3 linked regions of the Macaca mulatta genome follow. The protein of the gene in region 1 interacts with the protein of each later gene in a pairwise test. Links are inferred from orthologs where the notes say so. Each region holds a gene or a part of one and is shown on either strand. Other genes may lie near its edges.

Region 1 (3,162 bases):
GGGAGGCGAGTCCCCAGTGACTGCCCGGAGATCCGGTGCTTCCCGGGGAGGCGAGTCCCCAGTGACTGCCCGGAGATCCGGTGCTTCCCGGGGAGGCGAGTCCCCAGTGACTGCCCGGAGATCCGGTGCTTCCCAGGGAGCTGACCCTTTGCCCTCCTGCTGCACGACCAGCTAACTATGGAGGCTGCGACCTGACCTGGAAGTACCCATGGCCTTGGCAACACCTGCTTGCAGCCCCTCTTCTCAGAGGTCCCCCTTGTCCAGCCGTGCTTGGAAAGGAAATCCCCTTTGTGTCTACTCAAGCTGGGACTGATGAGTTCCAAGGCCAGTGAGGCTGGTGAGTGATGTGGACGGCTAAGGAGCAAGGGAGGCTGGGGACCTGGGTTCTGGGGCAACAGAGGTTTGGCCATTCCGGGACCAACTGCCCTGTGGCTCCAGCTACTGGGCAGAGACAGCAAACTGCCTATTTTCCAACCAGCAGAAGCCAGAAATCAGGATTCTTATTCAGAAACTCTGTATTATGGAAGTGGAATTTATGTTAAAATTCTCACACACACATGGAGGAGAAACGGAAGCCAATTGGGCTTTCCGGGGTCTTCTGCCCTCCACACTGAAACCTCAGGCCCAGCCTCTGCACAGAGGGGTGGGAAGGCACAGTTTGTGAACACCCACCTGAGGCAAGGAGGTCCCAGAGAGGGAGTGCTGTCATCCCAGGGCCATGTCGCGGGGAGGGAGGGAGCCTGGTGCTTGGCAGTCACCCCACAGGCACTGGTCACCCACAGAAAGGAACTCAGACCTCCCTCCAGGAGGTGGGGCAAGGAGGGAGGGAGCAGCTCCTTTTCCTTGCACCCAGGTCTTTTGGGGGAGACCAGACCAGGGGCAGGGAACTGGCTTAGGACCCCCTGTTCACTCCGGCATCCCCTTCTGCCTCCAGAGTCTTCTACTGGTGCCCCAGAGGCTGCATCCAGGCCGCGAGAACAGCGAGGCCCCGAGTGACTGCGCCACGTGGCTGCTCATGGAGCCTCCGGCCGGTGGCCCTTGCGGTGGATGACCAGCTGCGACTTCCAGTCGAAGGCGCGGCCACAGTCACTGCAGAAGTGGCGCCGCTGGCCCGTGTGGCCCTTGCGGTGGATGACCAGCTGCGACTTCCAGCTGAAGCTGCACCCGCACTCCTCACATGGGTAGCTCCGGGGGCCTGCGAGTGAATGTCGGGGGTGGCGCGGAAAGGCCAGCTCCCCTTGCGGTGGCTTCTCTGTGCCTTCCCCGGCGGCTAGCCCTGGGGACTGCGCACCTGGCCCACGCGTGTGTGTCCGGTGGTGGATGACGAACACTGACTTCCAGTCAAAGCCGCGGCCACACTGCTCGCACGTGTAGGGCTTCCTAGGGGTGGTACCCGGCTCCAGTCTCGTCTCTGTGGGTGTGGGCTGAGTGGGCACTGGTGGTGTCCCTGGGCGCGCAGTGGGGGCAGGAGTGGTGGCCTCAGGCAGGCCCTCCCAGGCTGCAGGCCCTGGGCCCTGGGGCGGCTGGGCCTCTGGGCAGCCGGGTGGACCCTCACTCTCATTTCCTGGGGGCAGGGGCAAACCAGGTGAGTTCCGGCACTCGGCACCCCCTCCCTCAGGCTTGTGGCTGTGGCACAAGCTCCCATCCCCCTAAGAGTGGGTGGCTCAGGCTGGATGGTGTGGGGCACTCACCTGAGCGCAGGCTTCTGCAGACGCCTGTCCCCATGAGCAGCATCCCCAGCTCTGACTGGGCCTGTGCCTCTGGCTGGTGGGGCGGTAACCCTGCCCGGGTGGGGGGCACAGTTAGGCGCAGGGTTTGCATGAAGGAGGGGTGGGGTGGGTTCTGGCAGGAGACAGGGTGTTCCTTTGGAAGGTGGGAGAGCTGGGTAGGGCTGGTAACAAAGAGTCCCTGCCCAGCTAGGGTGGGTGCAGGCCCCAGGGAGGGGGGCGGGGTGGGGCTGGCTGGTCCTCACCCAGGGAGACCACCGTGCCGTACTTCTCCAGCATCGTATCCCAGTACAGTTCCTTCTGTGACCGGTCCAGCAGCCCCCACTCCTCCTGCGGATGTGGCCCATCACTGTAGGTGTCCTTCTACTCCTCCCCTGCCCTATCTGGTTCACATTCTTTTTTTTTTTTTGAGACGGAGTCTCGCTCTGTCGCCCAGGCTGGAGTGCAGTGGCGCGATCTCGGCTCACTGCAAGCTCCGCCTCCCGGGTTCACGCCATTCTCCTGCCTCAGCCTCCCGAGTAGCTGGGACTACAGGCGCCCACAACCGCGCCCGGCTAATTTTTTTGTGTGTGTTTTTTAGTAGAGACGGGGTTTCACCGTGTTAGCCAGGATGGTCTCGATCTCCTGACCTTGTGATCCGCCCGCCTCGGCCTCCCAAAGTGCTGGGATTACAGGCGTGAGCCACCGCGCCCGGCCTAGTTCACATTCTTACTACCCGGGGGAGTCAGCAGGTTACCTATGCCTCATCTGCCCCTCCTGCTGAGAATGATCTCGAGGTGGGTGTTTGTTAAGTGCTAGGGTCCTCTTTCAGATCACCTGACCAGTGCGGCTGCCAGCTCTCATCCCCCTCCACTACCCCACCCTGCTGAGAGGGAGGGCCTGGCAGCATTACAGGGACCTGAGTGAGTTTATCAAGGAATGAACTCCCTGCTTGGGGGTCAGCTCTCCTTGCCTCCTGAGTCCCACCATCTGGGGCTTTGCTGGGTTGGGAAAATCATCCTGAGGGACAAGCTGTGGCAAGTCCAGGCGCAGGAAGGTGGCAGCTGTGAGGAGCCACAGCCAGAGATGGTGCTGGCTGGACGTGAGGACACTGTGGGAAGTGCAGCCTACCCACCCTGGCTCACTTTCTGATTGTGCCATGGGGCTGTGGAGGGAGCCTGGAAGGACTTCTCAGCCTTGAAACACATCTCAACCAGCAATGCTGCTGAAGCTCCCAGTGGAGCTGTTAGAAGCAGAGGAGTTGGGAGAGGAAAAGGCCTTGCTGCCCACACTTGGGAACGAAGTGATCCAGGTAGCAGGGGCCTCAAGCTGAGCTTCCAGGGCCAACAGGTGGCCTCTGAGGAAACCCCTGGGAGAGAAGGGACTTTGGGCATGTCCCAGGAAGAGTGTCTCCATCTGGTCTCAGGTGTGGGGGAGTCCTGCCACAGCTGGTCAT
Region 2 (3,991 bases), on another chromosome or scaffold:
AAGTACACGGCTCTCAGTGGAATTCCTCATTCCCTGGCCAGTGCATACATGGCCCAGTCAAAGTGTCTAAGCACCAGATCTCTACCCGTCCCAGCCCCACCCCTTCTACTCACCCACTGCCAGGGTCTCCCAGGCTCCCGTTCCAGTGCCTCCACCGCGGCCACAGCCTGCTCTCCACTCTCAGGCTCCTGCGCCCGCACCCAGCTCTGGATCTCCCGGGGCAGGATGGCCAGGAACTGCTCTAGCACCAGCAGCTCCAGAATCTGCTCCTTGGTGTGCCTCTCAGGCCGCAGCCAGCCCCGGCACAGGTCCCAGAGGCGTTGCAGGGCCTCCCGGGGGCCCGCCGCCTCCTGGTAGCGGAAACGGCGGAAGAGGCGCCGAGAAGACTCGGGACTGGGAAGCTCCCCTTGGGGGCTAGGGTTCTCTCCAGGTGGGCTCCTCATTTTCCTGGGCTCCTCACTTTCCTTCGGAGCCAAGACTCGGGGGCACAGGGCTGTGGGCATGATGGGATTTGATGGGGGTCAGCAGCAGAAGACGACCCTATTTCCAAACAGAAATCACTGGCTTCAGTGTTCTGGTCTCCTGTGGTCATTTCTGGGGGACAGTGACAAGGAAACTGTCAATGCCCTCAGAGACCAGCCCTTTGGAGAAGCCCTGGGAAAGGTAGGGAGTGTCGGTGTGGCTGGTCTTTACACACAGAATGAAACAGACAGAAAGATACCCTCCCCCCATCAGTACCATTACGTGTGGATTCCCGTAAGCGGGTGACTGGATGAACAAGGCAGGAAATCTGGGAGAAAGTGGTGGCATTTCAACGTGACACTGGTGTTTTGAGCATCCCAGGAAACCAACAGCGCCACATGCAGATGTAATCAAGACTCTCTGGTACCTTAAGTGGCTGGGTCCTCCGGGAGACCCGAGATGGGCAGGCCAAGCAGGCCACTATATTGAAGCTCCGCAGCCGAAGTCACTGTTCTTGTTCTCAAGACCTTTACAAATAGAGCTGGAAAGACAAAGACAGACATGCATCGGATGAGCCTTCCAGCACATCCAGGAATGGAAAATCCATCCTGCTGGTGGCAGAGGGCTGATGGTGCTCAGTGCTGGATGGACAACCCAGCCAGAATCAGCTTTGCCCAACAGAGTCTGCAACGGGAGGCAGGGAAAATACCCAGACACAGGGAACATCACATGAGACAGCCACATGCAGTCCACGGGGGACAAATAACACTGCATTTAGAAATATCAGTGGTTTCCTATGAACCTTCTGCCAACACTTGCCTGACGTTCAACCTCGCCTCCACCCTCTTGTCTATCCTTGACCTCTTCAAACCACATTCAAGGCAACGGCACACCCGCGAAAGCCGTTCCTCGGCCAGGACAGGAGAGTGGGTCCGTCACGGCACAGCTCAGCCCTCAAAGAACCCCTGGACACTGCAGCTGCCACACCCTCAAGGTGGGCCTCAGGGGTCCCTCCACCTCCCCGCTGGTGTGCAGACAACTAGCCGACACATACAGGGTGGCAAAAGAGACCAGCAACCAGTATACCTGGCTGGTGTTCATGACTCGCACCCTAGAACACTGACCCGTGAAAGGGCACATGGGGACACTCACGGTGCCCTTCTCTGCCATCAGGCCTCTGTGATCCTTAGGACCGGCAGTGCCTGCCACTCCTCCATCTGCAGGAGGTTGTCCAGCGTGGCCGCGCCTTATCCTCCAACAGCTCACAAGGGGGACTCGGGCCTCACTCCCATTTCACAGGAAGACAAGTGATGCCAGAAAAGCTACGAAACAACTCAGTGGTTCCAGAAACACCCACTGCTCTGAATCTCCTTGCTTTCCAAAGTAACAACACATACAGAAACGCATATGGGGGCCGTGGAGGCGTCGGGCTGGACGCATTACAGGGCTCCCCACCACCGGATTCCCTTCCAAGGCGGCTCCGGCATCTGGAGCCCGGGGTGGGCCCCGCCCGCCCTGCTCGGCGGCCCCCTGCGGCGCCCATCACACACCTGCAGCGCCCAGGACTACTCAGGTCCGCCCCCCCGGAGCACCGGCGCCCACCCGGGCTGCCACTCGGATCGTCTCCAACCAGACGGCCGCGTCCGTCTTTGTCACGGCGGCACCTGGCGCGTCGGAGGCTCGGAGGAGACGCCTGATGAATGAACTAACGTGAGTGAGGCGGAGGAGGGCCCCGCAGGGGCGGAGCGAGCTCCCAGCCGTTCGCGGAGGAGGGACCGAGCCGGATCGGCAGAAGGGGAAGGAGAAGGTCGCTGCGGGCCAGGGAAGGGGGAGCGCGCCCTCCGCGCCCTCGGTCTCCCTCACACGCGCGTCTCCCGTCTCGCCGGCTCCGGGGCTCCTCACCTCACAGCCCGGAGCTCCCTCCCGGCGTCCGGCCGAAAGCCCTCCTGTGGCGGCGGAAGTCCAGGGCAGCCGTCCTCATCCTCCCGGCCCGCCCGGCCGGGCGTACTCGCTGAGGCGGCGTCTCCGCAGGCGCCCGGCTCCTTTCCCGGCCCGTCCAGACCGCGTCTCCCGACCATCCGGAACGCCACGGCTCGGCTCGGGGGCAAATGGAGGCGCCTGAAAAACAATGGTGTTGCTTTCTCCCCCGCCCGCACCTTCCTGAGCGCTGGGCTCTGGGCCGGGAGGCGGCGCCGCGGAGGCCGGGCGCGGGCCGAGGAGGGCGGGGCGGGGCCGGCCGCGGGAGCCGGGGTGCACTCACCGCCGCGACTCGTCCCTGTTGGCGGGCGGCGCAGGCCTGGCCACTGCCGGAGCCCGCCGGACGCCGAGGAAAGGAAAGGCCGGAGCCCTCCGGCTCCCTCCCCTGGGACACTTCCTGCTCCGCTCTAGGACCGGGGAGGTCTCCGCATCTCAGTGGTTCGCTCCCCCGCCCCCCGGCCGAGGTGTGCGCTGGGGGTGACATCCGACACCCCCGGCCCGCCCAGCTCCGCGCGCGCCTGGGCCTGGCCGCCGGGCCGGGGGCTTTGTGGGTCAGCCACGTCGCCGCGCCCGGTCCTCCCCGCGGGCCCGCCGGTCCGGAAAGTCAGCCCGGGGCTCTTTTCTCCGCTGTTCTCCTTCTCCGGCGCCCCCAGGACACGCGGGCCGGTGGACGCCCGGAACGGCCGACCGGGAGGCGCGGCTGGGATGGAAGCTGGAATTGGGGGTGCGGGATGGAGCGGAGGGAGGAGGCCCCGCGCGCCGTCGGCCGCCTCATTTCAGACGCCCCCTGCGAGCCCCAGCCAGCCGAATTCCGGGCCGCCCAGCCCCTCCCGTCGCTGCGGGACGCCAAAGGTAGCGCTCGCACCCGCGCCTTCCGGGCCTGGCGCCCACGTGCGGAGTCCCCGCGTTAGGAAAGGCCGCGCAGCCGGAGGCCACTCCGAGCCTCGGGACGACCCTGAGGGATGCGCAGGGGGTCTGCCGTGAGTCCTGGCCCTGAGTGGGGGTCACGGGGCTCGCAGAAGTGAACACGGTTACCGCTGTGCGCAGTGGCGGAGGGAGAGGATGAGGGACTCTGACCCAAGGTCATGTGGCAGTGAGGGGCAAGCAGGAATGAGGGCCTCCGGACCCCACCCTGAGACAGGGCTGCTGGCTGCTACACTGTGCTGAATATAGCCCAAATTCTGACATGGGTCGTCCCCGGGGAGTGGTCATTTTTCAGGCTCCAGAGCTTGAGAGAAAGTGTGAACCCGGTCCCTGGGCAGGCCTGATTCCCATGGCCCCTTCTCCATCTGCTCTGCACCGAAATTGGATTCTCCCACGCAGAAGGGGAGAAGGTTCTCCATCTTCCAGAGGGTAGCTACTGCCCGTTGCTCCGATTTCCTTAGGATCCCCTTTCAAGGGCAAGCAGAAGGAAATCGGTTTCCCCAGAGAAAGTGGCCCGGCTGAGTAAGTGGGGACAAGGTGGTTGGACTGAGGCACAGGATCCTTTAGCTCTGTTACTCTTCTAATCCCGTGGCCCTGGGCACCACCACTTCCTCCTCTGAACTGCTGG
Region 3 (3,946 bases), on another chromosome or scaffold:
GACTCAATCTCAAAAAAAAGACTTTGTTTCATGTACAGAATTATTTAAACTGTATAAAATTAGCTCTATGTGAGTAAGGTATATATGAAACAAATGAATTTCATGTTTAGACTTGGGCCTCATCCCTAAGATATTTCATAATGTATGTATATATTCCAAAATCTGAAATTGGAAACACTTCTGGCCCCAAGCATTTCAGATAAGGGATACTCAACTTGTTGTTGAAATCGTACAATATGTAGCTTTTCAGATTGGATTCTTTCACTTTCTAGTATGCACTAAAATTTTCTCCATGTCTTTTCATGCCTCGATAGCTCATTTTTTTCATTTTTTTCTTGTTTTCTTTTTCTTTTTTCTTGTTTTCTTATAAACAGATGTTTATAGCAGCTTTATTCATAATTGCCAAAACTCAGTGGGTAAATGAATAAATAATGGGTCTGTTTTTAAAAGAGTGTTTTATATTTTTACTATTGAACATCTTTTCACATGTTAATTTGTCACTTACCTTGTTTTGTGTATAGTAACATTCATATCCTTTACTGATTTTTCTACTAAAGTCTCCTTTTACTCTTAAACAGAAGTGCCCTTAAAAATCAAATAGGGAACTTGCATATCAACATTTTAAATGCATATGTCCTTTGGCTGATCAGTTCTAATATGTGGCATTTATCCTAGAAATACATTCTTAAAAGAATGTAAAGGTATTGAATGATGTTCCCTCTAGCATGGCTTTTAAAGAAAAAATATAACCTAAGTATGCATCAATAGGATAGTTAAGTAAATTATGGAACACCCATACAATATTACTTAGCTGTTAAAGAATAAGCTGATCTGTGAAGATCTCCAAGCTGTCTTAACCGAAAAGAGCTAAGGTGCAAAATTACATTATGATACCATAAGTGTTTTTAAATGTATAAATGCTTATTCACTAAACAAAATGTTTATTACATGCTACTGTGTGACAGGTAGTGTCCTAGATAAATATGCACAAAATACAATGGTTAACTCTAAAGAGTGGGACATTTTTCGTTTTATGGTCCTTCTGCAACTTGACTTTTTTATTGTACGTATATTATGTATACTTAAAATAATTTGTACAGCTTACTATAATGGTCTTTTAATTGATCTGTTTCGCCTCCTAACCAGTGATGACCCCGAAGACAGACATTTACCACTCTGTTGGTTTTTTATTGAAATGATGTACATAAATGTGGGGCGTGCTTGCACCGTCCGGATGGGCCTGAGGTCCGGCAGCGGAGAGCGACCTGGGCGGGGCGGGAGGTGGCAGTGGGGGTCCTCCCGGATCACCAGAGAGACGAGCGGCCGTGCTCCTAGAGAGGCAAGGAACCCGCCAGACTCCGCCACTCGGCTGCGGGCGCGGCGAGTGGAGAAGCTTTTGTGCTGGCCCAGCTGCCGGAGGCGCCGGCGACACCCATCAGCCCCGCCAGCCCGCCAGTAGCACGGCTTGGGCTCTGGGGAAACCGGCGCTCTCGACTGGGCAGCCCCGGGCCTCTGCGCTCCCTCGGGAGCCTTTCACGAGGTCGGCTACGTCTTTGTTGTGCGCGTTCCTGAACTTTTGGTCCATTAACCAACAATTAGACACGCAGGTATTCAGTGCCTGGCGCGGTGCTAGATGCTGGGTGTAATCTCAGAAAAATACATTCTGGGGTGCGCCTGAGGGTGCTGGCTGCTGGCATCTCAGGTGCTTTACGTGCATTCGTGAAGAAGTCCATCAGTATTTGTTGAATACCAGGTACGTGCCGGGCTTGTAGAGTCTATGCAGAGATAAACTCCTGTCCTCAAGAACCCGGGTGGGGATGGGCTGGGTGATCTGTAATACGAGATGGAGGAGATGAAGGTTGGGAGCAGTTTTCCATGGGAACACCCATCTCTATCTGTGTGGCTTACTTTTCCTGTCTATATGTTAGGGTTAGGGGTGGCCAGGGAAGGTTTCACATAGAACATTTGCGCTGGCCCTTGGGATTTTACCCTTAGAAGGGGGGTCCTGACTGTATAGAGTGGGTGGAAAAAAAAATTGAGTACTTAGCATGGCAGTGAGATAAGGAATTTGGGAAGACCATGGCTTTCTTGAAAGTAGGAACTAAGTCTTTTATTCCAGAGTTAGCTTTATGCCTGGAAAACAATGAGATGCTCCACAAATGTTTATTGAGTGACAAACAAATCAGCAAAATCCAGTAAAGATTAGATCCTGGAGAGTTTGAGTTTACTTCAACGAGTTTAATGAAAACTTTGTATGTGTTTATGTGTGTGTAAGGTATGTTGAATATGGTCAGAATTGTGCTTTAGGGAATATTAATCCAGTGACCATAGAAGCGGGGAATTGGGCAGGAATACCATAACATTATTGTGACAGTGAATGAAAATGATAGTAAAATAATAAGGAAAGAATGGCTGCAAGAGGCATTTTTAAGAATTGACTTGATTCACTGATTGTATATAGAGGCTGTTTAAAAGACTGAATGCATGGAAGATGATGGTGATGCCAGTAGAAATGGAGAAATACGGAGTGAATGCAGCTTTGAGGAACTCTGATCTTAGTTTGAGATCTGTTGAAATTATAGTGCAGGAGAAGCCCACAGCTGCTGGCATTTCAAGATGTGGGTTTGGAGTGCAAAAAGCAAGCTGGAGCCAAAGATTTGAGTCTTCTTGGGAACAGAGATATATTGAAAGTGTGACTAAGGAGATCACAAAGGAAAAAATGAAGAGAGGGAAGAAAAGAACTTGATGCATTTCTACTGTTTCAGTTATGTGTTGTTGCATCAAAAATCAAACTCTAAACTTAGTGGCTGAAAACAAGCTCAGCTTATTGTTCCTCAGGATTCTGCAGGTTGACTGGGTAGTTCTACTGGTCTCACCTGGAGTTACTAATAGAGCTGCATTCCGCTGGTGAATTATTTGAGCACTAGGCCCGGCTGGGTTTTAGCTTGGTCATTTTGGTTCTCATCCACATGACCTCTGTCTAGCTAGCTTGGGCCTCTCACAGCATGGCAGTCTTATGGCAGTGAACCAAGAGCTACAGCAGCACTCTCTCTCTTACAATGTCATTTCTGCCGTATTCCATTGGTCAAAGCAAGTCATAGGCCAGAACAGATTCAAGGGAAGGAAAAATAGACTCCACCCCTTGATGAGAACAGTGGCAAAATCTCATCACAAAAGGTATTTGAGGATGGGAGACTTTGGAAACAGTCTATTACACCTACATTTAAAGCGGAATATTCAGTGAGAGTTACACAGATATAGATGACCTTTGAGACTGTATTATTTGCCCATGAAGGCAGCCATCTGCCTCCTCAATGGGTAAAATGATCCCTTCTCCCCAGCTAAAGTGCAAGCTTCTTGAGCATTCTTATTGCTAACGCTTCTTCCCTCATATCCTACATCCCTTACCTCTGGACTCAGACCCTTTAGTACTAGTTCAAAACATACTTCTGATTCATTTCACTGAGAAATAGAAGGAAGCAGGCTCAGCTTTTGAGCACTACCTACAGTGGGTACAAAAATATAAGTAGATTACATACAGTTTTGAAGGTCTTAGAATTTGTGTGTTGCTGATCAATTCTTATGCCTCAGATCTCTATTTCTGAACACAGACCCCCAAGCTAAGTGAAGCTTTAGCCTCTAAACTCAACATGTATGAAGCTTTGCCAGGCCCTGCTCCTGAAAATGAAGATGGCCTTGTGAAAGTGAAGGAGGAAGATCCCACCTGGGAGCAGGTGTGCAACTCACAGGAGAGCAGCTCCTACACTCAGGAGATTTACCGCCTGCGCTTTCGGCAGTTCTGCTACCAGGAGGCTCATGGACCCCGGGAAGCTCTGGCCCAACTCCGAGAACTTTGTCATCAATGGCTGAGACCCGAGATGCACACCAAGGAACAGATAATGGAACTGCTGGTGCTGGAGCAGTTCCTGACCATCCTGCCCAAGGA

Evidence for each region. The genes of interacting proteins can lie anywhere in the genome.
Region 2: the proteins of ZNF446 (region 1) and ZNF496 interact in binary tests that used the Homo sapiens proteins (3 or more experiments, as listed by UniProt). The two-hybrid records come from large-scale screens. The link is inferred for Macaca mulatta from reciprocal best matches to the Homo sapiens genes ZNF446 and ZNF496.
Region 3: the proteins of ZNF446 (region 1) and PGBD1 interact in binary tests that used the Homo sapiens proteins (3 or more experiments, as listed by UniProt). The two-hybrid records come from large-scale screens. The link is inferred for Macaca mulatta from reciprocal best matches to the Homo sapiens genes ZNF446 and PGBD1.

The regions. Positions count from the first base shown.
Region 1 is NC_133424.1:70,612,843-70,616,004, reverse strand, and holds the end of ZNF446 (zinc finger protein 446), read right to left. Parts: intron 2,058-3,162; coding exon 1,973-2,057; intron 1,782-1,972; coding exon 1,692-1,781; intron 1,565-1,691; coding exon 1,014-1,564; 3' UTR 501-1,013; downstream 1-500. UniProt on the Homo sapiens protein: May be involved in transcriptional regulation.
Region 2 is NC_133406.1:1,707,508-1,711,498, reverse strand, and holds the start of ZNF496 (zinc finger protein 496), read right to left. Parts: upstream 2,801-3,991; 5' UTR 2,723-2,800; intron 2,581-2,722; 5' UTR 2,365-2,580; intron 1,004-2,364; 5' UTR 890-1,003; intron 541-889; 5' UTR 504-540; coding exon 114-503; intron 1-113. UniProt on the Homo sapiens protein: DNA-binding transcription factor that can both act as an activator and a repressor.
Region 3 is NC_133409.1:155,062,731-155,066,676, reverse strand, and holds the start of PGBD1 (piggyBac transposable element-derived protein 1), read left to right. Parts: upstream 1-1,146; 5' UTR 1,147-1,753; intron 1,754-1,808; exon of another isoform or gene 1,809-3,611; 5' UTR 3,612-3,650; coding exon 3,651-3,946.